Lonchura striata: one gene and its partners. The protein of the gene in region 3 interacts with the protein of the main gene of each other region in a biochemical or structural test. Links are inferred from orthologs where the notes say so. Each region holds a gene or a part of one and is shown on either strand. Other genes may lie near its edges.

Region 1 (7,010 bases), on a different chromosome or scaffold from region 3:
GATAACTGTGAGGCAGCACTTCAGCCTGGGTTACCCTTCCAGAATTCCAGGTGCGCTGACACTGTACCTGCCACTAAAGGTGACACATTGGTACCCAAACTCTGCCAGCTGCTGCCCCAAGGCAGCACAGGGCTCCAAACCCCAGGCAGGGGCTGCAAGCAGCAGATCCAGCCCCTTCCACCTCGCTCAAGGTCACACCAGCCCACAGAGCAAACAGAAAACTGAATTTAATTCCCACTGATGGCTGAAAGCTGCAGGTGGACACACACCAGGGGACAGGACGGGGCAGAGCCGTGTCCCTCTGAGCTCTGCCCAGCGGGAATTCCTGCACAGACACTTCCCTTGGCACAGCAGCACTTACACATACCTTGCTCAGGGCTTACACAGATGGTTAATGTTCCAAGGCTTAACCAGGAACCACCCAGCTCCAGCCAACCACGCTGAGCCTCCAGGCATGGATTTCTAGGAACACCACTGAACACCCTGTTCCTTATAAAGGAATTTCATGGAAACAGCTCAAAAACCACAGGCAGAAAAGGGATCCCTCCAAACAGCCCACAGCCTTAACCCAGCAAGTGCTGGAAAAGAGTGTTTGCTTCACAGGAGGAGGCTGCACACCCCTCTGGATCAGGTGTGCCCTGCTCTGCTCCCGTTCCAGCCAGAGGGAAAGGGACTTGTCCTTGTGCCCTCCCCAAAAGCATTAACTAAAGTACACACGTGTGGGCAAACAGCTCCTGCCACCATCTGTCCCGGAGCAACCAACTCCCTGTGGTTTGAACACTGTAAATATACAATAAATACATAAAACAACACGTCCAACAGCTGAGTTCTGCCAAGGAGTTCTCAAAACACCAAAAAGCTTTTAACTGATGATTCTGAGCTCCAGTTTTCGGGAGGACGATCCATCCCTACAGTCAGCTGCCTGGGAGAGGGGTGTTAAAATTCCTGGGAAGCTCCAGGAGGAGGACAGGGATTCCTAGAACTGCAGCTCTGTACCAGAACTGGGAGCTTCCACCTTTCTCCAACAGCCTCACGCCCAGAGCTCCTGAAAGCCAGGGGCCAACTGGAGCAGGACACTCGGGGCAGGACACTCAGCTGGGGCAGGACACTCAGCTGGGGCAGGACACCCAGCTGGGGCAGGACACTCGGGGCAGGACACTCGGGGCAGGACACTCAGCTGGGGCAGGACACCCGGCTGGGGCAGGACACCCGGCTGGGGCAGGACACTCGGGGCAGGACACTCGGGGCAGGACACTCAGCTGGGGCAGGACACCCGGCTGGGGCAGGACACCCGGCTGGGGCAGGACACCCGGCTGGGGCAGGACACCCGGCCTGGGCTGTCACACTCCTGCACCCACCCAGAGCCGCGTTCCCCGCAGCTCCCCGGTGCTGCCAGGGGGTGTTAGCAGGAAAACACACACAGCACGGGATGCTCTGCTCCCTGCAAGCCCCTCAGGGCACACACACAGCCCCGGCTGTCTGTCCTCCAGCAGCTCTGGAGCCTCCCTCCCGTCAGCACCGCAGCAGGGCCGAGCAGCACACGGTGTCCCCAGCACGGGACACGGCGGCCCCGGGCAGGCGGGGACGGCCCCGGGCGCTGCCAGGTGGGCACACCCCGGTCACAAACGCGGCCCAGCTTCTCCTCCTGCTCCAGGCACTCAGGAACTCCGCGGGGACAAAGCGCTGACAGCCCCGGAGGGCTCATTACTGCGCACCACTAATTGCTCATTTCATTTCTGCCGCGCCAGTCGCTCGTTATTTCATTTCTGCCGCCTGACCCGGGGCTGGGGAAGGCTCCCACACCTCGGCACGACTCCTGCAGGTGCTGCTGGAGCCTTGAGCGATTCGCTGCTCCCAAGGAGGGAAGGCAGGGCCAGGACAGCCCCAAAGCTCGGCTCTCCTGCACACACAGCCCGGTGAGTCAGCAGTGCCGCTTCCTTCTCCCCGCGTTCAACCCCTGGAGTCCTGCGGGGGATCGGACAACCAACACCCCCTCCCTGCCCTCCCACGGTTCGTCCTTTTGGCTTCAGCCTTCCTGCTGCTCGCATCCAGCCGGGCAGGGATGCAGCGATCTGCAGCGGCACCGCGGGGAGATTCTACAAGGTGTGGAAAGAAAATCATCCCCAAATCGCCCCAAGCCGCGGCTCAGGGGCAGCAGAGGCCGCTGGAACTCCCCGCGCTGACCCTGTGCCATCACCTGGAACTTCTCTGGGGCCAAACTGCCAAAAATGAACAGCCAAGGAGTGCTGGGGACACAAAACCTGTCTGACAGAGGAACGCTGGGCACAACCAGTTTATTTCTCTTAGTCGAGGATCAAATCCCTACAGGAGGCTCCTCTCCTGGCGGCTCTGGGGCTGCAGCAGACGGAGAGGGAAGGAGCCCACGGCGAGCTGCAGCAGCAGAGCCCCGCGCCTCCAGAAACCGGAGCGGTTTGCGATTGGAAATAAAGAAAAAGGTCCCAGGGATTACTGCCAGGGAAAACAGCAAATATCAGCGCTCAGAATTAATCAGTAACCATGGAGAGGCCGGGGCTGCTCCCTGCCAGGCTCCCCAGCACGCACCCCCGCACCCCCGGGCAGGCGCTGTCCGGCTGCCCCGGTCCCCCGAACTCCACCGAGCCCCGGCACCGGCCGGGGGCTCCCGGCGCTTGTCCCGGGACAGAACGGGAGCGCTCCCCCGGCCCTGCAAACCCTCGCTCAAAGCGAGCCGTCCCTCCCGCGGTGAGACCTCCCCGCTCCCCCCGGCACGGCCCCCGCCGGCCCGGCGCTCACCGCCCGGCGTGGTCCCGAACACGGTGCCCCCCGGCGTGGTGCTGTAGTCGCCGGGCGGCAGCGGGGCCTCGTCGGGCAGGGCGAGGCACTTGCCGGGGCCCGGGATGTCACGACTGGGCGTCTGCCCGTGGCAGCAGCGGCCCGACATGACAGGAGCGATGACGGGAGCGGCACCGGGAGCGGCACCGGGAGCGGCACCGGCGCTGCCGCCGCCCGCCCGCCGCTTCCGGCCAGGGCCACGCCCCTTCCGCCGCGGGGCGTGGCCGGGAAGGGGCGGGGCTTAGCAACAGGGAGGCGTGGCTATGCTAATACAGTTGGACTTTAGGGGGCGGGGCTTAGCGACAGGGGCGGGATATGCTAATACAGATGGGCTCTTCGGGGCGGAGCTTAGTGACAGGGAGGCGGGGCTATGCTAATATAGCGTGTTCTTTGGGATGGGGCTTTAGCGACAGGGGCGGGGCTATGCTAATACAGATGGGCCCTTCGGGGCGGGGCTTAGTGACAGGAGGCGGGGCTTAGCGCTACATGGGCGGGACTCCTGGCGGGTCCCCTTTTCTCCCTTTTTCTCAATTTTTCTCCCCTTTTCTCCCTTTTTCTCAATTTTTCTTCCCTTTTCTCCATTTTTCTCAATTTTTCTCCCTTTTTCTCCCCTTTTCTCCATTTTTCTCCCTTTTTCTCCCTTTTTCACCCCTTTTCTTCCCTTTTTTGGCCCTGGACACCCCTGGCCTGTGCTCCCCGCTTTTGGGGTCGCGCTGCCCCGTGCTTGGCGGGGACCCCGCGGAGCCCCCGGGGGTGTTGGCGGCGCTGCCCCTTCGTGGCCGCCGCTGCCCACGCGGGGTGGCCGCTCTGGGAGGTCCGGGTGCTCCCGTGGCAACGCCGCGGGGACAGATGTCCGCCCGGCTGCCCCCATCCCAAATGGCTTTGCCTCCCCCGAGGGCCGGGAACAAATGCGGGAGGAGCCGGGGGGCCACACACGGGTCCGGCGCCCCCCACGCTGTGTCCCCGAGGGTGCTCCGGTGGGGCTGGAGCTATGGGAAATAGGGTTTGTCTTAATACTTCATTACAGAGGAGATCTAAAGAGCAGCCGAAGTGCGCTGGGAGGGGCGCAGGGTCGGCCGGGCGGGACCCCTGGGCTTGGCATGGGGGGGGCTGCGGAACCCAGGGATGAAACCTGGCGTGAAGCCCCTCCGAGCATCCCTGGGACCACCCTGCTCACGGGTACCCTCCAGAAAAAGCCCTTCATCGTTCCCTGCTCCCCCGGCCGTGGCCACAGGCTCTGCTGACCCTCACCAGACACCGGTGCGGTGCTGACATCTGCTGACGGCCGGGCTGCCGGGAGCCGGGATGCCGGGATGCCGGGATGCCGGGATGCCGGAATGCCGGAATGCTGGTAGACGGGAGCCGGGAGCCGGGATGCCGGGATGCCGGGATGCCGGGATGCCGGGATGCCGGGATGCCGGGATGCCGGGATGCCGGTAGACGGGAGCCGGGATGCTGGGATGCCGGGATGCCGGGACCCCGGGATGCCGGGATGCCGGGATGCCGGGATGCCGGGATGCCGGGATGCCGGGATGCCGGGATGCCGGGATGCCGGTAGACGGGAGCCGGGATGCTGGGATGCCGGGATACCGGGAGACGAGAGACGGGAGACGGGATGCCGGGATGCCGGGATGCCGGGATGCCGGGATGCCGGGAGACGAGAGACGGGAGACGGGATGCCGGGATGCTGGGAGCCGGGATGCCGGGATGCCGGGAGATGAGAGACGGGATGCCGGGATGCCGGGATACCGGGGTGCCGGGATGCCGGGAGCCGGGATGTTTTCCAGCGCGGATGCCGGCGCAGCCGCCGGCAGATGCCAGCAGCGTTTCGGCAGCGCTGAGCCCGTGTCGCAGCACCACGGGGTCACCGAGGCTGTGGCAGGGATTGTCCCGGACCGGGGCGTGAGGCTGCTCCTCTGGTGGGACACAGCAACCCCGGCCTGCCCAAACCATGGCCCCGGCTCCAACAGATGGAGCCCGGCAGCCACGCACGGCTCCGGACCCCAGCCCGGGGCCAGGCTCATCCCGCGGAGCCGCGGTCCCGCCCCGGGGCCCTGGGGGCTCCCGGGGGTCGCTGAGCGTTTTCTGCGGGGCAGCAGCGTCCTGCCAGGCTGGCCATGGACACGGGTGTTTCTGCCCCCGAGGTCCTGTGGGACCCCAGCCAGGCTGTGGTGCCCCCAGGCACCCCCAGGGGCCCAGGCAGGCTGTGGTGCCAAGCAGGCAGCCCTCGCCCTGTGCCAGCTGCTGAATCGATTAGTGGGCACTGGGGCAGGAAAATAACATTTCCGGCATGGAATGACATCAGCAGTGACCCCCAACCCAGAGAGGCGGCCGCTGCCATTTCCTCCTCCTCCTCCTGCTGGAGAACAGTTATGGGGTCAGGGACGGGGGAAGGTCGGGGCTTAGGGCACATCCTGGCTGGGGCAGAGCAGGGTGTCACCCTCCCGGTGCCTGCTGGAGTTCGGTGCTCCCGGCAGCACACAGGGGACAGGGACAGGGACAGGGACAGGGACAGGGACAGGGACAGGGACAGGGACAGGGACAGGGATCCTCCTGCCCTGGACAGGAGCTCCAGCTGCCCGGGAGCTGTCTGCAGGCAGAGAAGAGGCTTTGGGTACTCTCCCACCCACACCACAGCACCCTCCGGTTGCAGAGTGCTCCTCTCCAGGGCATTTTATCTGCCCATTCCACGGGCAGCTCCCAGGGCTGGAAAGCCCTTTGTCATCCTCATGTGATATGAAGTTATCGCATTATTGCCTTCTAAATCGGGAGCAGAAGTGCTCTCCGAGGTGTCTGTCCCTCCACCAGCACTGCCTTTGCTTCTGACCTGGTTTGGATCGCTGGGAGCTGAGCAGGGCTGGCTTTTGGGGAAGAATTCACTCCACTGCAGGTCCTGGGGAAGAAAATGTGTTTCATAAGTCACGAAATGTCCCTGTCCCTGGTGTGAGAGCAGCCCTGGGGGATGGCAGCAGGGGCAGGGGCCATCGCTGGCCCCACTTGCGCCCCACTGGTGCCCACTGGACTGTGATTACAGGAAGGTTTGCTGAGACAGGAAGCAAACAACCCGAGGGAAGGATAAACTCCTGCCTGGCGGGCTGGCAGCTTTCATCTCGCCCCATCCATCACCTCCTGTCTGGGTGTCTCCCGCGCGGGAAGGCTCATCCCCAGCCCCCTCTGCAGCCCACCCCCCTTGGGGGCCTGGGGACCCCACTGCAGCCCCGTGAGGGCGGGGATGGTGACGGACCCCACGGCAGTGAGGATGTCCCTGTGCCGCGGCATTTCCACCCCATCCTCTGTGTTTACATTCCCTCCGATGGCGGCTGGCGATAAGGACAGACCCGGACGAAGCCACATCCCTGCTGCCCGCCCGAGGCTGCTCGTGCAGATAAAGGCTGCCCCATAAACAAGCCCATCCTGCCTTTGGGAAGGGCATCTCCGCTGGCCCCAGCCCTCGGCAGGAAACCCTGTCTGGGACGTCCCCGGCGCTGCTGGGGGTGCTCAGCACCCCAAAACGCAGCCCTGGGTCCTGGAAACAGCCTCAGTGGCACGGGATTCACCCTGGTACCCATGGCCAGAGCCAGAGGAGCAGTGTTTGGCTCTTCCTCCTCCTCCTCCTCCTCCTCCTCGTTGCTGCCTGCAGACATCGGGCTGGAGGCAGACACAGCCTGTGCCGGCTGCAGGAGGGGACATGGGGGCTGGGGCAGGGATGGGTGCTGCTGGGCACAGCTTGGGCAGAGGGTGCCCGGGCATGCAGGGGGCAGAGGAGGGGCAGGGGGAGATCCGGGTGGCACGAGGCAGCTTGGCCGCTGTCCTGTGGTGTGGCTGGGCTGGCAGGCGGCTCCATGTGGCGCTGCTGGCACTCGCTCCCTCATCCCTGTCAGCTTCCCCCCCGCGGGGCTGGACCCTCTCCCTCCCACCCTGCTCTGGGGCACAGCTGGGAGTGCCACATGGAAGCGCCTCTCTCCCTCGGAATGCCCTGCCTGAAAGCTCTCTCTGAGGCTATTTCTGTTGTTGTTTTTTCTCGATACTTCCCACACTTTTTGTGAAATCTAGATCCGTGTTATTGCAAACTTCTCCCTCCTTCCCCCACCCCAGTTTGCTTTAGCAACAGCTGAAGGAAAACCAGAAACAACGGGAAAGGAGCTGTGAAAACATCTGTAAAGTCTTGGCAGCCCTGACGGCAGCAGGAGGACTCCCCC
Region 2 (7,261 bases), on a different chromosome or scaffold from region 3:
CGCAGTGTCCCCGGCGCTGGCGGGGGCTGAGCCCTCGGTGCCGCTGTCCCCAGGCCGGCCGGGCCCCAGGCCGCCGAGGGGGCCCCGTTCAGCTGCACGTGAGTCAGGGGCCAGTGTCCCCTGTCCCTTTGTGGCACCCAGCGTCCCCTGGTGTCCCTCTGTGTCCCTTTGTGGCACCCAGCGTCCCCTCATGTCCCTGTGAGTCACCTGTGTCCCACCCAGCGTCCCTCTGTGTCTCTCTGTGTCACCCATGTCCCAGCCAGTGACCATCGTGTCCCCCCACGTGTCCCCATGACCATTGTGTCCATGTCCCCTGGATGTCCCCTGTCCCTGTGAACATGTCCCTGTGTCACCTCCTTGTTGCTGTGACAACCTGTCCCTACAGTGTCCCCATGCCAGTGACCGGGTCCTGGTGTCCCCCTGGCCCTCCTGGTGTCCCAGTGACCGTGTCCCCACGGTGTCTCCATTGTGGTGACTGTGTCTGTGTGTCCCTACACTGTCCCCGTGTCCCCGCAGTGTCCCCATTGTGGTGACCGTGTCCGTGTGTCCCCACACTGTCCCCATGTCCCAGTGACCGTGTCCCCACGGTGTCCCTGTGATGGTGTCCCCGCAGTGTCCCCATTGTGGTGACTGTGTCTGTTTGTCCCCACACTGTCCCCGTGTCCCCACGGTGTCTCCATTGTGGTGACCGTGTCCGTGTGTCCCCACACTGTCCCCATGTCCCAGTGACCGTGTCCCCACGGTGTCCCCATTGTGGTGACCGTGTCTGTGTGTCCCTACACTGTCCCCGTGTCCCAGTGACCGTGTCCCCACGGTGTCCCCATTGTGGTGACCGTGTCTGTGTGTCCCTACACTGTCCCCGTGTCCCAGTGACCGTGTCCCCACGGTGTCCCCATGTCCCAGTGATGGTGTCCCCGCAGTGTCCCCATTGTGGTGACCGTGTCCGTGTGTCCCCACACTGTCCCCGTGTCCCAGTGATGGTGTCCCCGCGTGTCCCCGTGACGCTGTCCCTGTCCCCAGGGCCGGGCGCAAGGACAAGGCGTGGACCCGGTGGAGTGGTCAGTGCGGGACGTGGTCGAGTACTTCACCGAGGCCGGCTTCCCCGAGCAGGCCGGGGCCTTCCAGGAGCAGGTGGGGCCACCCTGTCCCCTCTGTCCCCTGCTGTCCCCTGTCCCTGTGGCTGTCCCTCCCTGTCCCCTGTCCCTGTGGCTGTCCCCGGTGTCCCTCGCTGTCCCCAGGAGATCGACGGCAAGTCGCTGCTGCCGATGCAGAGGGCCGATGTGCTCACGGGGCTCTCTGTCCCTGCATCCCCCCGGGTGTCCCCTGTCCCTGTGGCTGTCCCCGGTGTCCCTCGCTGTCCCCAATGTCCCTCGCTGTCCCCGTGTCCCCAGGAGATCGACGGCAAGTCGCTGCTGCTGATGCAGAGGGCCGATGTGCTCACGGGGCTCTCCATCCGCCTGGGCCCCGCGCTCAAGATCTACGAGTACCACGTGAAGCTGCTGCAGCGCAGCCACTTCCAGGACGAGGAGCCCCCCCCCGGAGCCCTTCCCGGCCTGAGAGACCCCCCCAGAGCCGCGGGGACACCCCCAGACCCACGGGGACACCCCAAACCCGTGGGGACACCTCGGTATCTGGGAGGGCTCCTCCCTCCCCCCGCTGCTGCACACAGAGACTTTGGGGGTGGGCGGGGGTCATGGGGTTCCCACCTCACTTTGGGGGTCCCACCTCTCTTTGGGGGAGTCCCATCCCTATTTTGGGGGGGGTCTTGCCTCTCTTTAGGGTCCCACCTCTCATTTGAGGGGTCCCGCCTTGCTTTTGAGGGGGGTCTCATCTCTCTTTTGGGGGAGAATCCCATCTTTCTTTTGGGGGTCCCACCCCTCTTTGAGAGGTCTCTCTTTTGGGGGGGCACTGCTCTAGGGGGACACCCCTCTTTGGAGGCCCTGCCTCTCTTTTGGGGGGGGTCTCACCCTGTTTTTGGGGGCGCTTCTCTTTGGGGGGGTCATTTCTCCGGGGGATCCCACCCCCTCTTTTGGGGGGACTTCTCCTTGGGGACCCTTCTTTTGGGGGGGCACTTCTCTTTAGAGGGGTCCTCCCCTCTCTTTTGGGGGGATCCCACACCCTGAGGGGGTCACCCCTCTTCTGGGGGGTATCATCCCTCTTTTGGGGGGTCACCCCTCCTCGTGGGGGGGGTCGCCCCTCTTGTGGGGTGCCTTCTCTCTGGGGCGCATTGGGGGTGGGACACCCCGCTCCTTCTGGGGTCACTCTCTTTTGGGGGGGCCCCTCTTGGGGTGGGGTCACCCCTCCTTGAGGGAGCCCCCTTTTTAGGGGATCCCCCTTTTCTTGGGGGGGATTTTTACCACGGGGGGAGGGGGTTGGGGGGGCTCTGCCCGGAGATGTTTTAACCTTCCCCAGCCCGTGCCCCCCCACCCAAATTAGGGTGCGGCCCCCCATCCCTTGGCCACGAGGAGGGGGAAGCCCCCCTAACCGTCCCCCCCCCCCCCGCAGTCTGTGCCCCCCCTTTCCCCGGGCCTGGCTCGTTTTGGGTTTTTTTAAATAAAAACGAAAAAATTAAAGAAATATTAAAATCTCGGGGTTTTGGTGGGGTCCTCCCGTCTCAGAGTCCCCCAGAAGGGGCTGGGGTGGAATGGGGGGGGCAAGGGGGCTGCTGCGCATGCGCGGGTCCTCCCGCCCGGCAGGGGGCGCCAGGCCCGCGCCTTCCGCTCCGCGCATGCGCTGTAGAGAACCATCATCTGCGCATGCCTCCTCCTGCTGGAGACCGGCGCCAATCGCGGCCCTACGGCGGCCGGCCGGGCCCAAAAGCCGCGCCCCTTAAAGCAGCTTCAAAAACAGCCTCCGACCCCCCAAACTACCCCAGAACAGCCTCAGCACTCCCAAACTACCCCAGAACAGCCTCAGCACCCCTAAACTGTCCTCAAACTACCCCAGAACAGCCTCAGCACCCCTAAAATGTCCTCAAACATCCCCAAACTGCCCCAGAACAGCCTCAGCACCCCCAAACTACCCCAGAACAGCCTCAGCACCCCTAAACTGTCCTCAAACTACCCCAGAACAGCCTCAGCACCCCCAAACTACCCAGAACAGCCTCAGCACCCTTAAAATGTCCTCAAACTGCCCCAGAACAGCCTCAAGAGCCCCCCAAACTACCCCAGAACAGCCTCAGCACCCCTAAAATGTCCTCAAACTGCCCCAGAACAGCCTCAGCACCCCAAACTACCCCAGAACAGCCTCAGCACCCCTAAATGTCCTCAAACATCCCCCAACTGCCCCAGAACAGCCTCAGCACCCCCAAACTACCCCAGAACAGCCTCAGCACTCCCAAACTACCCCAGAACAGCCTCAGCACCCCTAAAATGTCCTCAAACATCCCCAAACTACCCCAGAACAGCCTCAGCACCCCCAAACTACCCCAGAACAGCCTCAGCACCCCAAAACTGCCCCAAACATCCCCAGAACAGCCTCAGCACTCCCAAACTACCCCAGAACAGCCTCAGCACCCCTAAAATGTCCTCAAACATCCCCAAACTGCCCCAGAACAGCCTCAGCACCCCCAAACTGCCCCAAACATCCCCAGAACAGCCTCAGGCTTCCCTAAAGAATCAATAACTGCCCCCAAACCAGCGTAAAGTGCCCGAGGAAGGGCCTCAAACTCCGCTAAAGCCACAAATGCCCCAACGCTCCCGATGCGCTTCGAGCCGCTGTGGAGCATCCTCTGCACCCCCCCCCGCCAGTGCTCTCCCGGGCCCCAGGAGCCCTAAAGAGCCCCCGCTGCCCCCACAGGGCCCGATGAGATCGATCCCCCCCTCCATGGCTCCCTACGGCGGCCGGACAGGCCCAAAAGCCGCTCCCTTCCTTCTTCCCCGCCCTACGGCGGCCGGCGGGGCCGAATAAACGCCGCGTCCCTCTTCCCTACGGCGGCCCAAAGGCCACCTGTTCTGCGCATGCGCAGTAGCCTTTCCTGGTGAAGATGGCGGCGTCCCGTATTCCCCCTTTCCGTACGGCGGCCAGGGGGCCAAAAAGCCGCCGTGCCCTCTCCACCCTCTCATCCCGCCTTCCTACAGCGGCCAAAGGAACCCAAACCCCCCTTGTCCGCCCCTCAGCTCTCCCCAATCCACAGCAGCGGCTGAGGCGCTTAACCGCCCCTGTCACCCCGCGCATGCGCAGTGGTGGAACCGGGGCGAAGATGGCGGCGCCCTCTGCTCCCTCCCTCCGTACGGCGGCCGGCGGGGGCTCCAAGCCCCGCCCCGCGCGGGCCCCGCGCATGCGCCACGCGGGGGGGGGAAGATGGCGGCGTCCTCGCTGGAGCAGAAGCTGTCGCGGCTGGAGGCGAAGCTGAAGCAGGAGAACCGCGAGGCGCGGCGGAGAATCGACCTCAACCTCGACATCGGCCCCGCCCGCGCCCGCCCCAGTGAGCGGGGCCGGGGGGCGGTGGGAACGGCCCGGGGAGCGGGGCGGGGCGGCCGAGGGGAGGCCGCGCTGGGGGGGGGGGAGGGAAGAGGGGCCGGGAGGGGAGAGCGGGGCTGGGGGAGAGCGGGGCTGGGGGAGAGAGCGGGACAGGGAGGGGAGAGCGGGGCTGGGGGAGAGCGGGGCTGGGGGAGAGCGGGGCCGGGGGGAGAGCGGGGCCGGGGGAGAGAGCGGGACCGGGGGGGAGAGCGGGGCTGGGGAGAGCGGGGCCGTGAGGGGAGAGCGGGGCAGGGGGAGAGAGCGGGGCTGGGAGGGAAGAGGGGCCGTGAGGGGAGAGCGGGGCTGGGGAGAGCGGGGCTGGGGAGAGCGGGGCGGGGGAGAGAGCGGGACCGGGGGGGAGAGCGGGGCTGGGGAGAGCGGGGCCGTGAGGGGAGAGCGGGGCAGGGGGAGAGCGGGGCTGGGAGGGAAGAGGGGCCGTGAGGGGAGAGCGGGGCTGGGGAGAGCGGGGCTGGGGGAGAGCGGGCTGTGGGAGAGAGCGGGGCTGGGGGAGAGCGGGGCTGGGGGAGAGCGGGGCTGTGGGAGAGAGCGGGGCTGGGGGAGAGCGGGGCTGGGAGAGAGCGGGGCTGGGGGAGAGCGGGGCTGGGGAAGAGAGCGGGGCCGGGGGAGAGCGGGGCTGGGAGGGGAGAGAGCGGGGCTGGGAGGGGAGAGCGGGGCTGGGGGAGAGCGGGGCTGGGGGAGAGCGGGGCTGGGAGGGGAGAGCGGGGCTGGGGGAGAGCGGGGCCGGGGAGAGAGCGGGGCCGGGGGGGAGAGAGGGGCTGGGGGAGAGCGGGGCTGGGGAGAGAGCGGGGGCCGGGGGAGAGAGGGGCTGGGGGAGAGCGGGGCTGGGGGAGAGCGGGGCTGGGAGGGGAGAGCGGGGCTGGGGGAGAGCGGGGCTGGGAGGGGAGAGCGGGGCTGGGAGGGGAGAGCGGGGCTGGGGGGAGAGCGGGGCTGGGGGGAGAGCGGGGCTGGAGGGGAGAGCGGGGCTGGGGGGGGGAGAGCGGGGCTGGGAGGGGAGAGCGGGGCCGGGGGGAGAGACGGGGCCGGGGAGAGAGCGGGGCCGGGGGGAGAGAGCGGGGCCGGGGGAGAGAGCGGGGCTGGGAGGGGAGAGAGGGGCTGGGAGAGAGCGGGGCTGGGGAGAGCGGGGCCGGGGGAGAGAGCGGGGCCGGGGGAGAGCGGGGCCGGGGGAGAGCGGGGCCGGGGGAGAGAGCGGGGCCCCCGGGGGGAGAGCGGGGCCGGGGAGAGAGCGGGGCTGGGAGGGAGAGAGCGGGGCTGGGAGGGGAGAGAGGGGCTGGGAGAGAGCGGGGCCGGGGGAGAGAGCGGGGCCGGGGGAGAGCGGGGCTGGGGGAGAGCGGGGCCGGGGGAGAGAGCGGGGCCGGGGAGAGCGGGGCCGGGGGAGAGAGCGGGGCTGGGAGGGGAGAGAGCGGGGCTGGGAGGGGAGAGAGGGGCTGGGAGAGAGCGGGGCCGGGGGAGAGAGCGGGGCTGGGGGAGAGAGCGGGGCTGGGAGGGGAGAGCGGGGCTGGGGGAGAGAGCGGGGCCGGGGGAGAGCGGGGCCGGGGGAGAGCGGGGCCGGGGGAGAGAGCGGGGCCGGGGGAGAGAGCGGGGCCGGGGGAGAGCGGGGCCGGGGGAGAGCGGGGCTGGGAGGAGCATTTTGGGGTGGTTGGGGCGGGTTTGGGGTGTTCGGGGCAGTTTTGAGGTGGTTGGGGCAGCTTTGGAGAGTTCGGGGCAGTTTTGGGGTGGTTGGGAACGTTTGGGGACATTTTGGGGTGGTTTGGGGCAGTTTTGGGGTGGTTTGGGGCAGTTTTGCGGTGGTTGGGAACGTTTAGGGACATTTTGGGGTGTTTGGGGCAGGTTTGGGGTGATTGGGGCAGTTTAGGAACATTTTGGGGTGTTTGGGGTGTTTGGGCAGCTTTGGGGTGTTTGGGACCGTTTAGGGACATTTTGGGATGTTCGGGACAGGTTTGGGGTGGTCGGGACAGTTTAGGGACATTTTGGGGTATTTGGGACACTTGAGGGGCACTTTTGGGTTGTTTGGAGCAGGTTTGGGCTATTTGAGGCCCTTCAGGGACATTTTGGGGTATTCGGGGTCCTTTAGGGACAGTTTAGGACAGTATTTGGGACAGGTTTGGGTTGTTCAGGGCCATTTTGGGGTGTTTGGGGCAGGTTTCGGGTGGTTGGGGCAGGTTTGGGGTGGTTGGGGCAGCTTAGGGACACTTTTGGGTTGTTTGGGGCAGTTTTGGGGTGGTTGGGGCAGGTTTGGGGTGGTTGGAGCAGCTTAGGGCCATATTGGGTTGTTCGGGGCCATTTTGGGGTGTTCGGGGCAGGTTTGGAGTATTTGGGGCAATTTAGGGACATTTTGGGGAATTTGGGGCAGGTTTGGGGTATTTGGGGCAGCTTAGGGACACTTTTGGGTTGTTTGGGGCAGTTTTGGGGTGGTTGGGGGCCTTTAGGAACATTTTAGGACAGTATTTGGGACAGGTTCGGGGAGTTTGGGGAGTTCAGGGCCATTTTGGGTTGTTTGGGGCCATTTTGGGGTGTTCGGGGCAGGTTTGGGGTATTTGGGACAGTTTAGGGCCATTTTGGGGTGTTTGGGGCATTTTAGGGACATTTTGGGCTGTTCAGGTTTGTTTGGGGTTTTTGTGGGGGCGGCGTTCGAGGATGTTCAGGAAGATTTGGGGCAGTTTGAGGGGTTTGGGAGGATCTGGGGACATTTTGGGGTTGGCTTGGGGTATTTGGGGCAGTTTAGGGACATTTTGGGGCAGTTTAGGGACATTTTTGGGCTCTTAGGGACATTTTGGGGCAT
Region 3 (7,731 bases):
GCTGCAGATTGAGCTTGACTATGAGCCAATTTCCATACACTTATTTTCCTTGGATAGCAAGCTGCCTTGCCCTGCATGAGACTACAAATCACTGACTATGGACATTCAGGGTGGTCCATGTAACCGAGTCCTAACTAAATGTAAGTACAATAAATAGTTTTAGGAACTATCAGTTCAAGATGAGGATATATAATTCCCTAATTTTCCATATTCCAAGCAAAATAGAGTTTATTGGTGACAGTCAATTAGGTACAAATTTCAAAAACATTGCAGAGGTGACTATCAACTGATAAACTGCTTATTCCTTAGAAAACATTTTATTTTAGAAGTCCCACTTTATAAGAGCATCCTAACTGTTCTTATAAAATTTAATATCTGATGAAAACTTGTTAATTACTTAAGAAAATTCCTTTCTGTATTAACTGTTTCTGATGAATTTGATATTCCCATTGAACATTTTTATTTGGATTGTTAGGACTCCAAGTATTGACAAACATTTATCAGAACTGTGGATCCAGAGAAGACCAATGGAAACATTCGATCTGCTGATATGTGTTCTATCTAGCTTACAATATTCAAATCACAACCTGAGGTAACAGAGAGCTTATTAGCTGTTTGAAGTTCAAGTAAGAAAGCAAGGGTCTTTTAAAAACCAGAAATCCTAAAGGTTACAAGGAAGGGAAATAAGGAAAAAAAAAAAAAAGTCCTTATAAAGATTTAAACAGGTCCCTATATACAGAACAGTTGGTAGCAGCAATGAAACTCATTATTTTAAAATCTGACCCTTTTTGTTCTAGTACACAATTTATATTACATTAGATCCCACCATCTATGTCAGACAATAAAGCTCTATTGACTGCTCTTTACTCAAGTGCACTCTTATTTTGCTCTAGAGTTTCTAAGCTGCTCCAATCATTGCCAGAGAAATGGCAGAAAACTACCTTATTTACTTAAATATTATAATAAATAGAAATATAAATAAATTATATTCATAAACATATATATACAGGAACTACTGGCTTTCTACACCAGTACCTTCATATTTCTGAAGGAGCTTGCAGGGTTTATGCCTGCAGTCTGACTTGGGCCAGAACCTGCTATATTGATCTACTAGGCAAATTAACTCTGCACAAGTTAGTGGAACAGCAGCAACCCACAATACTTTTAACCAGTTAAGGAGGGGAGGTGAAGAAAATTCTCACTTCAGGTATGTCTCTGACTGTGTTTATTCTCTTATGTAATTTTTTTTATAATGCCAAAAGTAAAAAGGAGGGTGATTAACTTTTAAGTCAATTAAAAAAAATTAAAAGTGCCAAGAGACTGCACTGAAATCAGGACCTCATTACTTTGCCAGCACTGTAAAGTGAGAATTTATTCACAAAGTTTGCAAACAAATAGCAGTGAATGAAGCAATAAGACAGATCTCTACTTACATAGTGTGAATGTTTGTAAACACCAGAACTGAATGTGAAAGGAGAGGTGTACAAGACACTATATGAGGAATGGGATTTGAGCTTTGCACTGGCTATGAATTTCCCACTGCAACACAACATAGTAATGCAAAGGAGGTCCAGAACTTCTAAACTGAAACACTGTATGACTGCAAATGTAGGCAGATAGAATATTAAAATTAATTTTAAAATTCTGCATTAGAATGAAGTATTTTAAGAGAGTTAAAATTGAAGTTAATCACTATCTTCCTTATGCAATTCTGAGAGACTTGTGCTGTCATTTCACACCTACTTCTTGTTATGATTGATGTTTTATTTCCAAGTTCAGACTTCTGGGCAGAGATTTTATAAACTAATGAGCTTTATCTTGAAAATAACTGCTGCTTCATATTCCTACTGCTTAATAATTAAAAAAAAAGAAGCAAGTGAGTTGGACAGAAATCTGGAGCTTATAAACATCCTCTATGCATAGTATAGTCAGATATTTAATATATGCCTGCCAGGAAGGAGCTGTTTTGTATGACAAGTCTGGCAACTGTACCATAAGTACAACATCAAATTGTGGAAGTACCACACCTAGTCCAAATGGGCCAATGTTAAATTACAGGAGAAGGTAGGCAGAACCTTAAATTGCAGAACTTACTCTTAGCTAAAATATTCCCCCTGACTTTAAAAAACTATGCTACCACAAGTCCCAAGGATATAGCTACATATATATGAATTCATAGTATAAAATCGTGCATTTTGGAAGTTTGTCAAACCATGGCAAAATTCAACATGGACACATCAAAATTATATTAGATAACATTATTGGTAATTTAGAACCCTACATTACACAGCATTCACGTGGCTTAATATTTATTTTCTATTCCGCCTCCTTCTGCCGGTAAAAACAGAGACGCAGCCAGTGGCGTCTGCAGTAAGTTAGAACGCTTGTCCCCTTTAAATGCCAGTGGTGACAGCGCCCTTCTACAGCTCGGAGCACTCCATGAAGCGGCCCAGGAGACACAGGGCAAGTTAAGGAGAAATCAACAAGCGGAACAAGAGCTTTTATCCGGGAAGGGCTGCGCGCCCGCTCATCCCGGGAGCGCAGCCGGAGCGGGGCAGCGGCCCCGGCCCGCCCGGCCCTGACCTGCTGCACGCCCGCCGCTCCCGGGTACAGATCCAGCACCAGCAGCAGGGGCACGTGGACGTTTTTGCCGCTGAAGAGCCGGGGAGCTGTGGGGGGACAGAGACAGAGACCGCGTTAGCGACCGGCGGCGGGCGGGACGGGGCACGGCACGGCACGGCACGGCACGGCACGGCAGGGCAGGGCAGGGCAGGGCGCTCACCGCTCTGCCGGGCCGCCAGCTCGAGCAGGTCGCTCAGGGTCTGCACCAGCGTCTCCAGCCGCTTCCTCTCCTGGACGTTTTGGAGCCGGACGACCAGCTTCCTCAGGGCTTGTTCCTCCCCCGCTACCGCCTCCTCCTCCTCGGGGCCGCCGCTGGCCATGGCCGAGCCGCTGCCCTCTCTGTGCCCATCCGCCGGTCGGCGGGACGAGCGCAGGGCCGGGCCGGGCCGGGCCGGGCCGGGCTGGGCGGCGCGGGCCCGTCCCGCTGCTGCAGCCCCGCAGTGCCGCCGCCCGGCCGCCGTCACCCGGCCCTCCCTGCCGCGGCCTGCGGCCCCTCCCACGGCGCTGCTCCACGGACACGGCCAAGGCCCGGCCCCCGCGGGCCCGGTACCCCCGGGAAACGCCCGCGGGCCTCGCGCAAGCGCCCGGCGAGCAGAACGGAGCCGCGGGCAGCCCCCTCACGGTGATTGACGAAAGAGCTGCCCAATAGAGCTGCCGAGCTGGACCCGGGTCCGCCCGGCAGGGCCTCGGTATAAAAGCTGGCCAAGGGTAGTGTGTCACGGGTGGTTTTGGTTTCTGGGTCGTGTGGGGTTTGCGGGGTGGGGATCTGTGAGCCTGTGGGATACCTACACTGAGGTAATCTGTTCCTGAAAGGCTGCACCCTGTGGAAGGGTGTGGAGTTGAGCCTTGGAAGAAGGGAGGGGTGAGGTGAAGGTGTTTTAAGATTTCATTTCCATCTCTAATTGCCTTACTCTAATTTGTTTGGCAATAAACTAATTTCCCCCAGTTGAGTCTGTTTTGCCTGTAATGGTGATTGTGAGTGATCTCTTCCTGTCCTTATCTTGACCCATGAGCTTTTTGCAATGTTTTTTCTCCCTCTCTAGATAAGGAGGTGAGTTCATGGCTTTGCTGAGAAGCTGGTGTCCAGATGGGGTCAACTCAACCACAGTTCTTTTTGGCTCCCACCACATACTCTTGCCTGAAACCAGCTGTCTGAAATTTTCAGTGTGTATCTTCTGTGCACCTTGATAGTAACTGTTGTGTAGTTTAAGTCTCTCTGCTTGTTCCAGCTCACGGCTGCCTTGAAGTCCTGGATCCCTTGTAGCTCTTTCAGTAAATAATTTGTTGCAGTTATAGATTCTGGAGCTAGACAACTTGAGCCTGAGTTAATGTTTCCTCTTCTTTCCACTTATATTGGCAAAGAATAAAAAACTCTGGTAGTGTTTCTGAGGTTCCTGAATAAATACAGCAACTAGATCAGGTGTCTCAAACACTGATCTTCTAACATGTCTACCAAGGTTCATTCCTCTGCAGGTAGCAGTTCCCTGGAGTGCTGGTTGGAGAGGATGCCAGCTTTTGCTAAGTCTCTGAAAGTCTGGTAGAGTTTGACAAAAGTCTTCTGAAGCATATTAATTAGTTAGACAAGAGGAGAATGTAAAGAATGTGGTAGTCTTGGTAAGCATCTATATTGTAGTTTTCCTGGATTTTTCTAGGAAAATCTGATGAAGCTATATTAATGTATCTTCACCAGAATGAATGGGAAAAATGGGTTCAACTTCAAAACCAGTAAGTTTAGGTTGAGTACTAGGGGAAAAGTCTTTACTGTGGAGGTGGTGAAGCACTCTAACAGGCTGCCTGGGGAAGCTGTGGATGCCCCATCCCTGGGGATGCTCAAGGCCAGGTTGGATGGGGCTCTGAGCAACCTGGTCTGGTGGAAAATATCCTGGCCCACAGAAGGAAGGTTGGAACGAAATGGTCTTCAAAGTCCCCTTCCAACCCAAACTATTGTATGATCTGTAGAAGTGATTAGAGGTTGTGACTGAGCTGTCTTGTGTTGAGGTCTGGCAGGAAAATTGAGGTCTGATAGTAAAGTGTCTGAATGTCATTATTATCAGAGTATGAATAAAGGGCAAAGGACTTTACCTCTGGAAAACCTCTTAAATATTTTTCTGCTCTAAAAGTTTCATATATTCTGACCTCTTTCAGTTTCATCAGTGGGTGTGGATGATTTACCATGAAGACCATAACAAAGGGCCCCAGATCTTTAAGTAATTTAAACAATTTGTTCTTTTTCTGTTGGGTCTCAATGTGTTTATTCCATGTCTTCTGTCCTCTGTAAGCTGTAGCGTGTTGTGTTATGCACATAGTTTGAAAAGACTGTACAGAGTCACAGAATTAACTGGGTTGGAGAAGACATTTGGGTTCATTGAGTCCAACCTATGACTAATACCGCCTAGTCAGCTAGACCATGGCACTAAGTGTCACATCAAGTATTTTTATTTTAAACATCTCCAAGGACAGGGACTCCATTTCTGTTTTGGCCGCAGGCTGTAATTCCACAACATACAGTCTTCTGATTTGACATAGCAATTTCCTTGGCCTCATCATCCAATGTATAATGCATATTGTTATATTTTCTTGAAATCAGTGTAATGTTATGTATGAATGGAGGATGCATTGACCTTAGAGAAACTTTCTGAGTGACCAAGATGTTAGATTTGAGTCTACTGTAACTATATTTTGTTTTAGCTCCATGTAGAAGTTGATTGGAATAGGAGCTTCTTTTGGAATAAGGCTTCAAAGGAACAGGCAAGCTGCTAGAAAACACACCAGAAGACCCTCAAGAATTTATTTTGTCCAAGTTATGGCCCATGTCTGGTCCTAAGGCTCATCCCATTCCTAAGATTTGTTTTTGAAATGAAATACAGGTTGGACCTCCAGGTTGATTTGGGTTGTAAAGGGGCCATTTTTGCCTTCTGTTCTTAGTCATCTCTAATGTCTCTTCTAAAAAGAATTTTCTTGTCTTGGGTCCATTTCCCTCTTTTGGCTACACGCATTTTCATGTTTGGAATCACATTTTCTGCTACGTGTTTGAATTCAGTCCGTCCTTGATATTAACCATCTCTGATTGGCTTTTGCCATCAGCTGTGTGGCAGGTCCCTCATTTCTTCACCCTTCCTAGCTTTGGTGTTGACACTGATTTAAATGTTCTATGCTGCTTATAGGGTGAGATATTAGGATGCAGAGAATGATTCTTGGTCAGTTGTAAAAGGATTGTATGTTGCAGTGTATGTTTCAGAACTGAAACTTCATCTTTTTGACAGGAGAGGGAGGCTGTGTGCAAGAAAAGACCGTAAGTTGTTTCTGCATTGCTGGGAAGGAAGGTGTTTTTCTGGAACAGTTCTTTTCCCTGTATCCTTGCTATTTCATTTGGGCTTTTGAGTGGCTGAACTCTCTTTGAATTTTCTTTCTGCTTGGTTTTGTCGGGGGGGGGGGGGAATGTATGTGTGAATGAGTTTGGGTTTTTGTGGGGGAGGTTCTGAATGCTTTTTGTTTGGTTTTGTTTTCTGAGGCTTTTTTGTTGTCTTTTGTTGGTTCCTCCCCCACCCCCTTCTTGCTCTGCCATTATTTTATTTGCAGTGCTTTACACCACCTGGTGAGCCTGCTGAAGCTGTGTTAGGTATTGCCTGGGGACTCTCCTTTGCAAGCTATTTCTGACCAAGAGCAGTGTCAGTCAGATCCATTTTTCCACATTCAGTTTTGTCTCATCATGCTTCCACCACAGAGGAGAATGAAAATTTAATTACACAAGATTTTATAACCACCTTTTTTTTTTTTTTAAATCTGCTTTGAAGAGCCCATGCATATTTATCACTGAAGGCATAATACTCTGAATAAATATTCTTTCCATTGTTACATCCCCATTCTGTGTGTTTTAACCCTGCAGCTGGAGAGGGGATTCTGTTAATTTGAATGACAGAAAGTGCTCAGACAGAGCCTGTTCAGAAGTGATATGACAGTTATTTGATTGACCTCTGGACAAAATGCTGATAAATGGTCCATCTGCTTTTATGTCATAACCAGCAGGGGCTCTGTGGTGTTAATGAATTCATTGCTTCAGAAAACAGTGGCAGAGCAGGTATTCTACCTCAACCTCTTCAGCTCTCATTTTAGCTATCAGGGACTTCAATTTTAAAAATATTTAGTACTGTGCATAGGCCCATACTTGTTCACTGCTCTCTGTATGAGAAGGTGAATCATGTTCACAGCTTCCAAATGGATGGGCTCAGACAGGCAGTCTCTCTGCTGGTAGGGGACTGGCTGATGGCTGGGCCCAGAGAGTGGTGGTGAATGGTGATACATCCAGGTGGTGGCTGGTCACAAGTGATGCTCTCCAAGGGTCAGTATTTGGACCAGCCCTGTCTAATACATTTATCAATGATGTTGACAAGGGGATCACAAGGGGATCAAGTGGTTCCTGTCACTCTGTGACAAGTTGGCACCAAAGTGGAAGTGTTGATCTGCTGGAGGGTGGGAAGGCTGTGCAGAGGACATTGGATGGGATTGATGGACCAAGAATAATTGTGTGAGGTTCCACAAGGTCAAGTGCTGAGTCCTGCACCTTGGTCCCAACAACCTCTCAACAATGGAATGCTGAAGGCTAGGGCAGAGTGTTTGGAGATCTAACCAGTGGAAAAGGACCTGGGTGTGCTGGTCAACAGCAGCTGAACGTGAGCCAATGTGTGGCCAAGAAGGCAAATGACATCCTGGCCTGGATCAGAAATATTGTGGCCAGCAGGACCAGGGCAGTGATTGCCCTGTACTCAGCCCTGGTGAGGCTGCACCTCAAATTCAGTATTCAGTTTGGGGCTTTTCACTGCAAGAAAGACACTGAGGTGCTGGAGCAAGTCCAGAAGGCAGTGAAGCTGGTGGAGGGTCTGGAGCACAAGTCTTAGGAGGAGCAGCTGAGGGAGCTGGGCATGTTTAGCCTGGAGAAAAGGGGGTTCAGGAGAGACCTTATTGGTCTCTACAATTTCCTGAAAGGAGGCTGTAGCCAGGTGGGGATCAGTGTCTTCTCCCAAGTAGCAAGTGATAGAACAAGAGGAAATGTCCTCAAGTTGTGTGAGGGGAGGTTTACCATCTAAGCTAAGAAAAATTTCTTCCTTGAAA
Region 4 (7,757 bases), on a different chromosome or scaffold from region 3:
TTGTGAGATCCAGCAGCTCCAACTACTTTCCACTCAATGATGGAAAATACTAGCCTTATCCACAATTCATGTTTTATCATTGGCACCAGACAGAGAGTCAGAATCTGACTCATTTTAGAACACTGGGGATGGGGGAGGGAACAAAAAAGAAAAGAATACTCTAAATGCATGCATCCTTCACTTAAGTCTTTCAGGATGGTCAACCTACAAGAGTGTCCCGAGGAAGAAGAGTATCCATTGATCCAAAAGCACAATCAGACTACAAAGAAGGTGAACAAAAGCTTCTGCAAAGCTTGAAGTTTGGCTTGCAAATCACAGGCAGTGGCCAAGGAAAGATAAGTACAATATATACCTAAAAATGTCAATAAATGTTTTTATTCCAGAAAGTAAAGGATCTTCCTTCTGCCAAATGGGAGAAAGAAATTCAAAACTCTACAGAAGCACATAAAGGCTGCATAAAAATACACACAGATGTATATAATCATGTAGCCAGAGAATCAGCCCAGAAAGGTATGTAACAAAATCACAACAGTCAGGATTTTAAGCAAGCAGCTTTTGAAAATGTAGCTCTTAACAGTAGAACACACAACAGAGCTGCCAGCTCTTCTTTTCTTCCCTCTGCAGGCCGTAAATTTGCAGAATCATCTCCTGGTCTCTGGGGAAATGCCCTTTGCTAGGCTGCCTTTGCTCATTTTTCTGTTCCCAGGAAAAAAAAAAAAGCAAAAAAAACCCCAAAAAAACCCAAAACCAACACAAACACCAACCAACAGTAACTCAGGACATCTCTATATTCTAGCAGCAGCCTGGTTAGTACCAAGAGTCACCACCACGGAGCCTTCCAGTCCTGACAGCATTCACCGACTTCTAAGAGCTATTCTTACGGATTTCCTGGGTTATTGCTCTTGCTCCTGTCTATGTGAGGTTGACCCCCAAAAATCATGACATACTCTTCTAGCATGGGGATAACCCAATCTTGTACTCATCTATTTTTAATTAATTATGTTTAAGCACAAGAAAGAATAACTAAGCACTTGTGGAGAAAGGATGAGAGGGAAGAACTAAAAGCTGGTTTAGAGGGGAAATAAAATATATCTGGAGTAATTTTTTCCCCTCCCCATCCCTCCATTTCTTCTTCTCATGTAAGAAAGTAAAGTAAGAATGAGTGTAAATAAACACGCATATAGGTACTTTCATATGCAAATGTTTCTAACTCTACAAATGAGTTTTTGCTGCTGGCTGCCGCCTGACAGTCTGAGATAGTGAAAGTGCAAGTCATCGAACAAAAAGCTGTGAGGAGAGCAACAGAGAAAAAGCATCTGAAGAAGAGGAAAGCTGCTTAAAGCCTTGGTATTTAAGAGACCGAGTTCCCTGGTCAAAACTGCAATATGCAAGACAAAATACAACATTCTACAGTGGGGGAAAAGTGCAGGAAATGTAAGAATAAAAGACAGCAGGCGAGTATCTGCTTAAGAGACAGCATATGCAAAGGTGAGTAACATCTAAATCCTTGGATCTGCTCCAAATGGCAGCGTTCATGAAATCCAGAGGAGTGGAAATGGTGTTTGGCAAAAATAGCCCACTTAAAGGGGAAAGAGTGCAGCGTCTATTGACGCACGGGGCTGCTAGCAAACACAAACTATGGTTAGTGGCAATTCGGGTTGTTGCAGGACATGTTCCGTTCCCTCCAAAACCAAAAGTAATGGAAAGGACAGAATGGAAAGGCTGATGTTTTCCTTCCACAAAACTATTAACGTTGCCTACAGTATTGCAGCCTACTTCACACAGGATTCCCCTATATTTCCCGGAAATATCAAAATGCAATACACATTTGTGCTTCATTCTAATGCAGGCTCCAGTCTGCAGGGTTCTTTATGCACTTTTAAGGATTATCATTTTTCTTGCATCAGTTAATTTTTTTTATCATGTTACCAGAAAATATTCAAGTACCTCTGAAAATGTATGCTCTATATTTGGGTGGTTGCCATTTCAATGAGACTTTTCTACAAAATAAGGGTTTTTAGCTTATGTTAAAAATGAACTCTGTAACATAACTTGAAACAAGATGCAGCAAATGCTGTGCCACCATACCATCTGTGTTCAAGTACAGCTCTAAAGCTCTCCTCCTATTGCTTCCTAAAGTGGAAAATAATGGTAAAAAATAAAAACATATAAAATGAAGCCTCGTGTATTGGAATAAATTATGAACCTGAGCCTTACAATGTTTGTTCCAAAAATCTCCCTCTGTACCTGTATAGGCCAATGAAGTATCATTTGGAAACCAAAGAGTAGGGTTATATTCTTCACATTTAAATTAAGTAACAGTGATGTTCTCACCTGACACAGCTAGTAAATTCTGGTGAGCTTCACTCTGCACATTATTGCCTCTTTTGCTTTTTTTAGCTCTTTTCACAAGCTTTCCAACAATATCCCATAGGAACTTGAGTGAAATTCATTAAACATTGGAGTTAATTGAAGGAACCAGAAATTATGAGAAATATATTTTTTAAAAATATCTTACTGTTAATGTGGAAGATGACAGAGGTTGATGGGCAAAACTTATATGGAGTACAAACCCCAACATACATCTTAGGCCATGAGGAAGGGTAGTAAGAAATCAGAAACAAACTCTGCAGGTAAAACGCCACCATGGAAAAACTAACTGCTCTTTATATGATATAATGAAAAAAAAAAGCCTAGTTCTTAAAAAGTCAACTTTGACAGGAGGATTTTAAAGCAGGACCTTTCTGATATTCAGTCAAAATACAGGATCACTGTTTTGAAGATGAAAGGGACGGCGTTCTCATCACTTTATCTCACTCACAGGTCCACAGTCACTTTGTCACTGCAGGGTGCAAGACCACACTGGGAAGCTGTCCTGAACTGCCTGGAAAAGAGAGAGAGGCGTGCAGGCAAGAGCAGGAGGCATCTGCGGGAGAACCTGAAGATGCTGTTATCTCTGGTACCGAACCAACCTGCTCCCGGCCACTCTAGAACAACAAATACATCCATAACTTCTTCTTGCTTTCCAGAAGGAAGCGCCTCACTCCTCCTACGCTACTCCCTCGCTGTGTCCCACCGACAGACTTTTATGGCTGTAGACATAAGTACAGGCCCGTCCTGCGCCGGGCTGCTCCCGCGGGAGCCGTTCGGGGATGAGCCGAGCGAGCCCCGCCGGAGCCGCGCCCGGGGCCGCCGCCGCCCGGGGCCGCCGCCGCCCGGGGCCGCCGCCGCCCGGGGCCGCCGCCGCCCGGGGCCGCCGCCGCCCGCTCCCGCCGCCCGGGGCCGCCGCCGCCCGGGGCCGCCGCCGCCCGGGGCCGCCGCCGCCCGCTCCCGCCGCCCGCTCCCGCCGCCCGCTCCCGCCGCCCGCTCCCGCCGCCCGCTCCCGCCGCCCGCTCCCGCCGCCCGCTCCCGCCGCCCGCTCCCGCCGCCCGCTCCCGCCGCACGGCCGGGACGCGGCCCGGGCACGTGACCGGAGCCGACTTTCCGTGCGGTTTGCGCCGAACGGGAACGGGGCGGAGAGCTCCCGGGTCTGCCGCGGGCACGGCAGCCTGCAGCAAGCCCCGGGGAGGGAATCCCGCTCTGGAGATGCTCCTGGCCCATGGCACTGCCAGATACAACACCTGGCCCTTTTCAAAAAATATTTCGACGTGCTTTCTCCATCTTATTACTCTCCATTTCATTTCTAATCCTGTGAGACAGTGCTGATCCCAGAGCCCAGGAGAAAGCAGGAGAGGTCAGGACACTGCATACTTGAGACAAAGATTCAAGCTGGGGGATGTTGTTCAGAAAGGGGACAAGGGAATGCCGACTTCCAAGACCTTTAGGAAACAGGGTGGGATTTTTTTTTTTCCAGAAAATGAAAAAGCATTTCCAACAACAGCAATATTTATTAATACTCTTCCTACTCCTGTCAGCACGTTCTCATCAACGTTTGGATGGTGCTGTCCGAAATGCCCGCTTGCCTTTCCAAGGGAAGGGGCTTCCAGAGGGACCGTCCTGCGCCTGCAGAGCCGCTGAGCGCCCATCCGCCAGCCCCGGGGGGATCTCCCAGGGCGCTGCCGCCGTCCCCGGCCTCCCATCCTCCTCTGGCCCTCTCGTTTTTAACGCCCAGCACGAGTCGCGCTCCCGGTGCAGGATGAGGCTCCGGGCGCGGCTCGATGCGGAGCGCTCCCGCGGCCGCGCGTGTGCCGGGACAGTCCCGCTCCCCCCCAGCGCCCCGGGGCTCAGCCACCCGCCACGCACGGGGCTCGGCGGGGGTTACGGGGCGGACTGGGCGCTCGGGGCGGCACAAAGCCTGGAGAGCCCGCCCGGGGTGCGCGGGGGGCGGCGGTGACATCCGCGCACGGCCCGCGGCCGCACGAGGAGACGGTGCTGCCGCCCCCGCTCCGTGCCGCGGGCGCGGGCACCGCTCCGCCGCCCCCGGGCGGGTGCGGAGCCCTCCCCGCCGGGCCGGGGCGGGCGCCGCGGCGGGGGCGGGACGTGGGGGCGGGCCGCGGCCCCGAACCCGCGGCGCCCCCGGGACCCGCGGGCCGCCCCGCTCGGCTCGGCGGTGGGGCGGGGGTGCAGGCGCGCGCCCGCGGGCGGGGCCGCCGCCGGCTCTGGGCGTGACCGCGGGCGGGGGAGCGGGGGGGGGAAGGTTCGCGCGCGCCCTCGCGCTCCGTTGCCATGGCGCCGCTTGACGTCACGGGCGGCGCGCGGCCCGCGCGGAGCGGAGCGGTGATTGGCGGAGACGCCCCGTGCGCGGCGCCGGGAGAGGGAGGGAGGGAGCGAGGCTGCAGCGCCGCGAGCGCCAGAACCGCACAGTCCGCGCCGGCCGCCCGCCCGCACCGACGCACCCGCGCCCGCCCGCCCGCCGCGCACAGGTAACGGGGCCGCCGCCCGGCACCGGCTCCCCGGCACGCCGCAGGTCGGGAGCACTGAGCGGGGCGGCCGGGGGACAGCGCCCAGCCCGCCCCGCTCCCCCCACCCCCGGCGCGGCTCCACGGGGAGGGAGCGGGGCGCGGGGGCCGCTGCGCGGGGCGGCGGGGGCCCTTCTCCGCCGGGGAAAACGGGGAAAGCACCGGCGGAGGGGGCGGCAGGTGAGGGCGACCCCGCGCCCGCAGGGAGGGGAGCGCCGCCCCTGCCGGGCGGGGGCCGGGGCGCGGGCGGCGGCGCTGCCGGGTGTGGTCTCCCGCCGGGAGCCCTGCCCGGGCGCGGAAGAGTCGCCGCGGCCGCGCTCCCTTCCCTCCCTCCGCCCAGGCCCCCCCCTCGCCCATCCTCCCCGCCCCGGCCGAGGGGTCCGGGCGAGAGCGGCGGCTCCCCCGGGACTAGAGGGGGCTCCTCCTCCGCCGCTCCCCCTCCCCCGCGCCGAATCCCCCAGGGATGGACCCGCGGGCTTTCCCTATTCCGGGGCGGGGACGCAGCATCCTCCCCCGGGGGCGCTGGGCGGAGGGGAGCGGGATCGGGGCGGGCCGGGCTCCGGCGCCCACCCGCCGTGACAAAGGCGGCGGGCGCGGCGCTCGGTGTCCCCGCGGCGGGCGCGGCGAGGAGGGCGGGAGGGAGGGAGGGAGGGGCGGCCGCAGCGCCCCGGGGCCGCCCGCCCGCCCCGCCCTCCGCTCCGCCCGCCCCCGGGCCGCTCCATTTTCTGCTGTCACCGCGCTCCCCGTGCCGGAGCCGCGGCAGCGCCCAGCCCGCGGGGGCGGCGGCGGCCCGCCCGGGGATGCTGCCGCGGCAGCCTGCGGTGCCCCGGGGACCGGCGGCGGGGCCGGCGTTGTGACCGCGTTTGCCCCGGTCAAGCCGAGTGGTAGATAACCACCACCAAAAGCTCGCTTTAAAATGGCTCCTTAACCCCGCCGCGCGCGGTTGGGCAAGTTCTCCAACGGGCGTTTGCACACAAACGAGTTTGTGCCTCCCCGTTGGGGACAGGAGCCGTTAAAATTTGCAGTCACCTGGAATGTTAAAATGTGCTTAGTTTATTCCCAAAGATGGAACACAAGCCATGCCATTGTTTCTCCTAACGTCACATAAAATGGCAAAAGTCTTAGTGGTTAAAAATGAAAATGCTTGGTTGGGGTGTCTGGAACGTACAGAAATAGATAAAGCACTCATGACCAAAACTGGTTCATGCTTTAATAATCTTGTTAAACTTCGAAGGATAATGTATCCCCTAAGCACATTCCTCCAAATGATCAAGTTAGGGTACACAGAAAGATGGGGGGTGAGGCAGAAGTATTTTTGCTTCCTGTGCCAAAAGAAATTTCTCAATACCTCTGTGCTGATAAGACAGGTTCTGAAGTTTTTCTGCTAGGTTGTGCTGTCTGAAATACTGATGTTGAGGTCATATTTTTAAGTAGTAAAATTTTCTTTTGTCTGTGAAAGCACAGCCTCCCAGGCAGAGCAGCAATATCTGATACAGAACATCCCATAATGGGGATTCCCATTTTGGGAAAGGGAGTTAGCATTGTGGGAAGGTGTACAACTCACAATTTAGATATTTGTTGCACTATGACTTTTTAACATCCAGTGTGGGATTTGATTTGCAGGTGTTTATGTGAAGTACCTCTGCATGTAACTGATTCTGTTAAGGTTCAGAATGCTGCTTGATATTCTTTGTCCAGCCTTTATTTGGTTGTCTCCTGTGGAAAGCTTACTATTGGATATTTTCTTTGTCAGTTTTGCTACACTGATAATGTAGCCTTATGAAAAAGTGGTGGCAAAGAATTAGGATCGTTTTTGTGCATAAGATAGAAATTATTTGGTTTCAGTTCACCTTTGGATGCTTTTGTTTGTGTTTATTAAAATAACATACTTAAAAGTTTACAGTTTTCAGGAGGAAGCAGTGGTTTTAACTCTCTACTCCATGTGTCCATGTGTTTGAGCAGCCAGTGCTGCTAGTATGCCTTGTGTGCTGGATTTCAGTTGTGTCTCTTCCAGTTCCAAATTAGAGAATACACGGTGCTCTGCCTTTGAAGTTTAAACACCTTTGTCCTTGACCAATGTCTGAATAATGCCTCGCTATTTTTCCTCTTCAGAAATATCAACATGGATAAAAATGAGCTGGTGCAGAAGGCCAAACTGGCTGAGCAGGCTGAAAGATATGATGACATGGCAAGTTGCATGAAATCTGTGACTGAGCAAGGAGCTGAGTTGTCCAACGAAGAGAGGAATCTTCTCTCTGTTGCCTATAAAAATGTTGTAGGAGCCCGTAGGTCATCTTGGAGAGTCGTCTCAAGTATTGAACAAAAGACGGAAGGCGCTGAGAAAAAACAGCAGATGGCTCGCGAATACAGAGAGAAAATTGAGACTGAGCTAAGAGACATCTGCAATGATGTGCTGGTGAGAAATAATGAAACTGTTGATCCATTTTTACTTAGAGTTGCAAAGTAAATGGTGCTGGGCCCTCTGGGACTGTTTTTAGTCTGTCAGTAAACCTGTGGTCTCCTATGCTATTTCTGTTTAAAAAAATGTCTGAATTTTTCTTTCCCTCTAATATGCTGATTATTTATATACAAATTATAGTTATGAATGCTAATAAACTTGGAGGCATGTAGAAACATTGTACATAAAGTAGTAGTTAAGAAAGCTTAACGTGTTTCCCTGAGACTGAACTATATGCAGGTTTAGTTTGGGGGTTTCTCCTACCCCAGTGCCCCTTCTGCCTTAAAGCAGCATATGTATCCTAGATGTCTTTGGTTTCTGCAATTTTAATGTGCTGCTGTGGTTGTAAGAGGTAGTTCTTACTCTACGGAAATTGTGCCCCTCCCTGGGTAAGATGATGT

What was found.
Region 1: of the proteins of LRRK2 (region 3) and EIF4EBP1, one has a biochemical effect on the other in vitro, tested with the Homo sapiens proteins (3 studies listed by BioGRID). The link is inferred for Lonchura striata from reciprocal best matches to the Homo sapiens genes LRRK2 and EIF4EBP1.
Region 2: of the proteins of LRRK2 (region 3) and MAP2K7, one has a biochemical effect on the other in vitro, tested with the Homo sapiens proteins (2 studies listed by BioGRID). The link is inferred for Lonchura striata from reciprocal best matches to the Homo sapiens genes LRRK2 and MAP2K7.
Region 4: the proteins of LRRK2 (region 3) and YWHAZ interact on a protein array, tested with the Homo sapiens proteins (3 studies listed by BioGRID and IntAct, with this or other methods). The link is inferred for Lonchura striata from reciprocal best matches to the Homo sapiens genes LRRK2 and YWHAZ.

The regions. Positions count from the first base shown.
Region 1 is NC_134634.1:4,354,143-4,361,152, reverse strand, and holds the start of EIF4EBP1 (eukaryotic translation initiation factor 4E-binding protein 1), read right to left. Parts: upstream 3,012-7,010; 5' UTR 2,921-3,011; coding exon 2,773-2,920; intron 1-2,772. UniProt on the Homo sapiens protein: Repressor of translation initiation that regulates EIF4E activity by preventing its assembly into the eIF4F complex: hypophosphorylated form competes with EIF4G1/EIF4G3 and strongly binds to EIF4E, leading to repress translation.
Region 2 is NC_134623.1:2,354,775-2,362,035, forward strand, and holds the start of MAP2K7 (dual specificity mitogen-activated protein kinase kinase 7), read left to right. Parts: upstream 1-4,244; 5' UTR 4,245-4,302; coding exon 4,303-4,426; intron 4,427-7,261. Other genes in the region: uncharacterized protein LOC144247275, read left to right, coding at 6-98, 1,021-1,131, 1,392-1,888, 2,697-2,739. UniProt on the Homo sapiens protein: Dual specificity protein kinase which acts as an essential component of the MAP kinase signal transduction pathway. Essential component of the stress-activated protein kinase/c-Jun N-terminal kinase (SAP/JNK) signaling pathway.
Region 3 is NC_134607.1:58,874,545-58,882,275, reverse strand, and holds the start of LRRK2 (leucine-rich repeat serine/threonine-protein kinase 2), read right to left. Parts: upstream 3,018-7,731; 5' UTR 2,943-3,017; coding exon 2,783-2,942; intron 2,670-2,782; coding exon 2,584-2,669; intron 2,569-2,583; exon of another isoform or gene 1-2,568. UniProt on the Homo sapiens protein: Serine/threonine-protein kinase which phosphorylates a broad range of proteins involved in multiple processes such as neuronal plasticity, innate immunity, autophagy, and vesicle trafficking.
Region 4 is NC_134603.1:21,496,067-21,503,823, forward strand, and holds the start of YWHAZ (14-3-3 protein zeta/delta), read left to right. Parts: upstream 1-4,754; 5' UTR 4,755-4,862; intron 4,863-7,010; 5' UTR 7,011-7,020; coding exon 7,021-7,314; intron 7,315-7,757.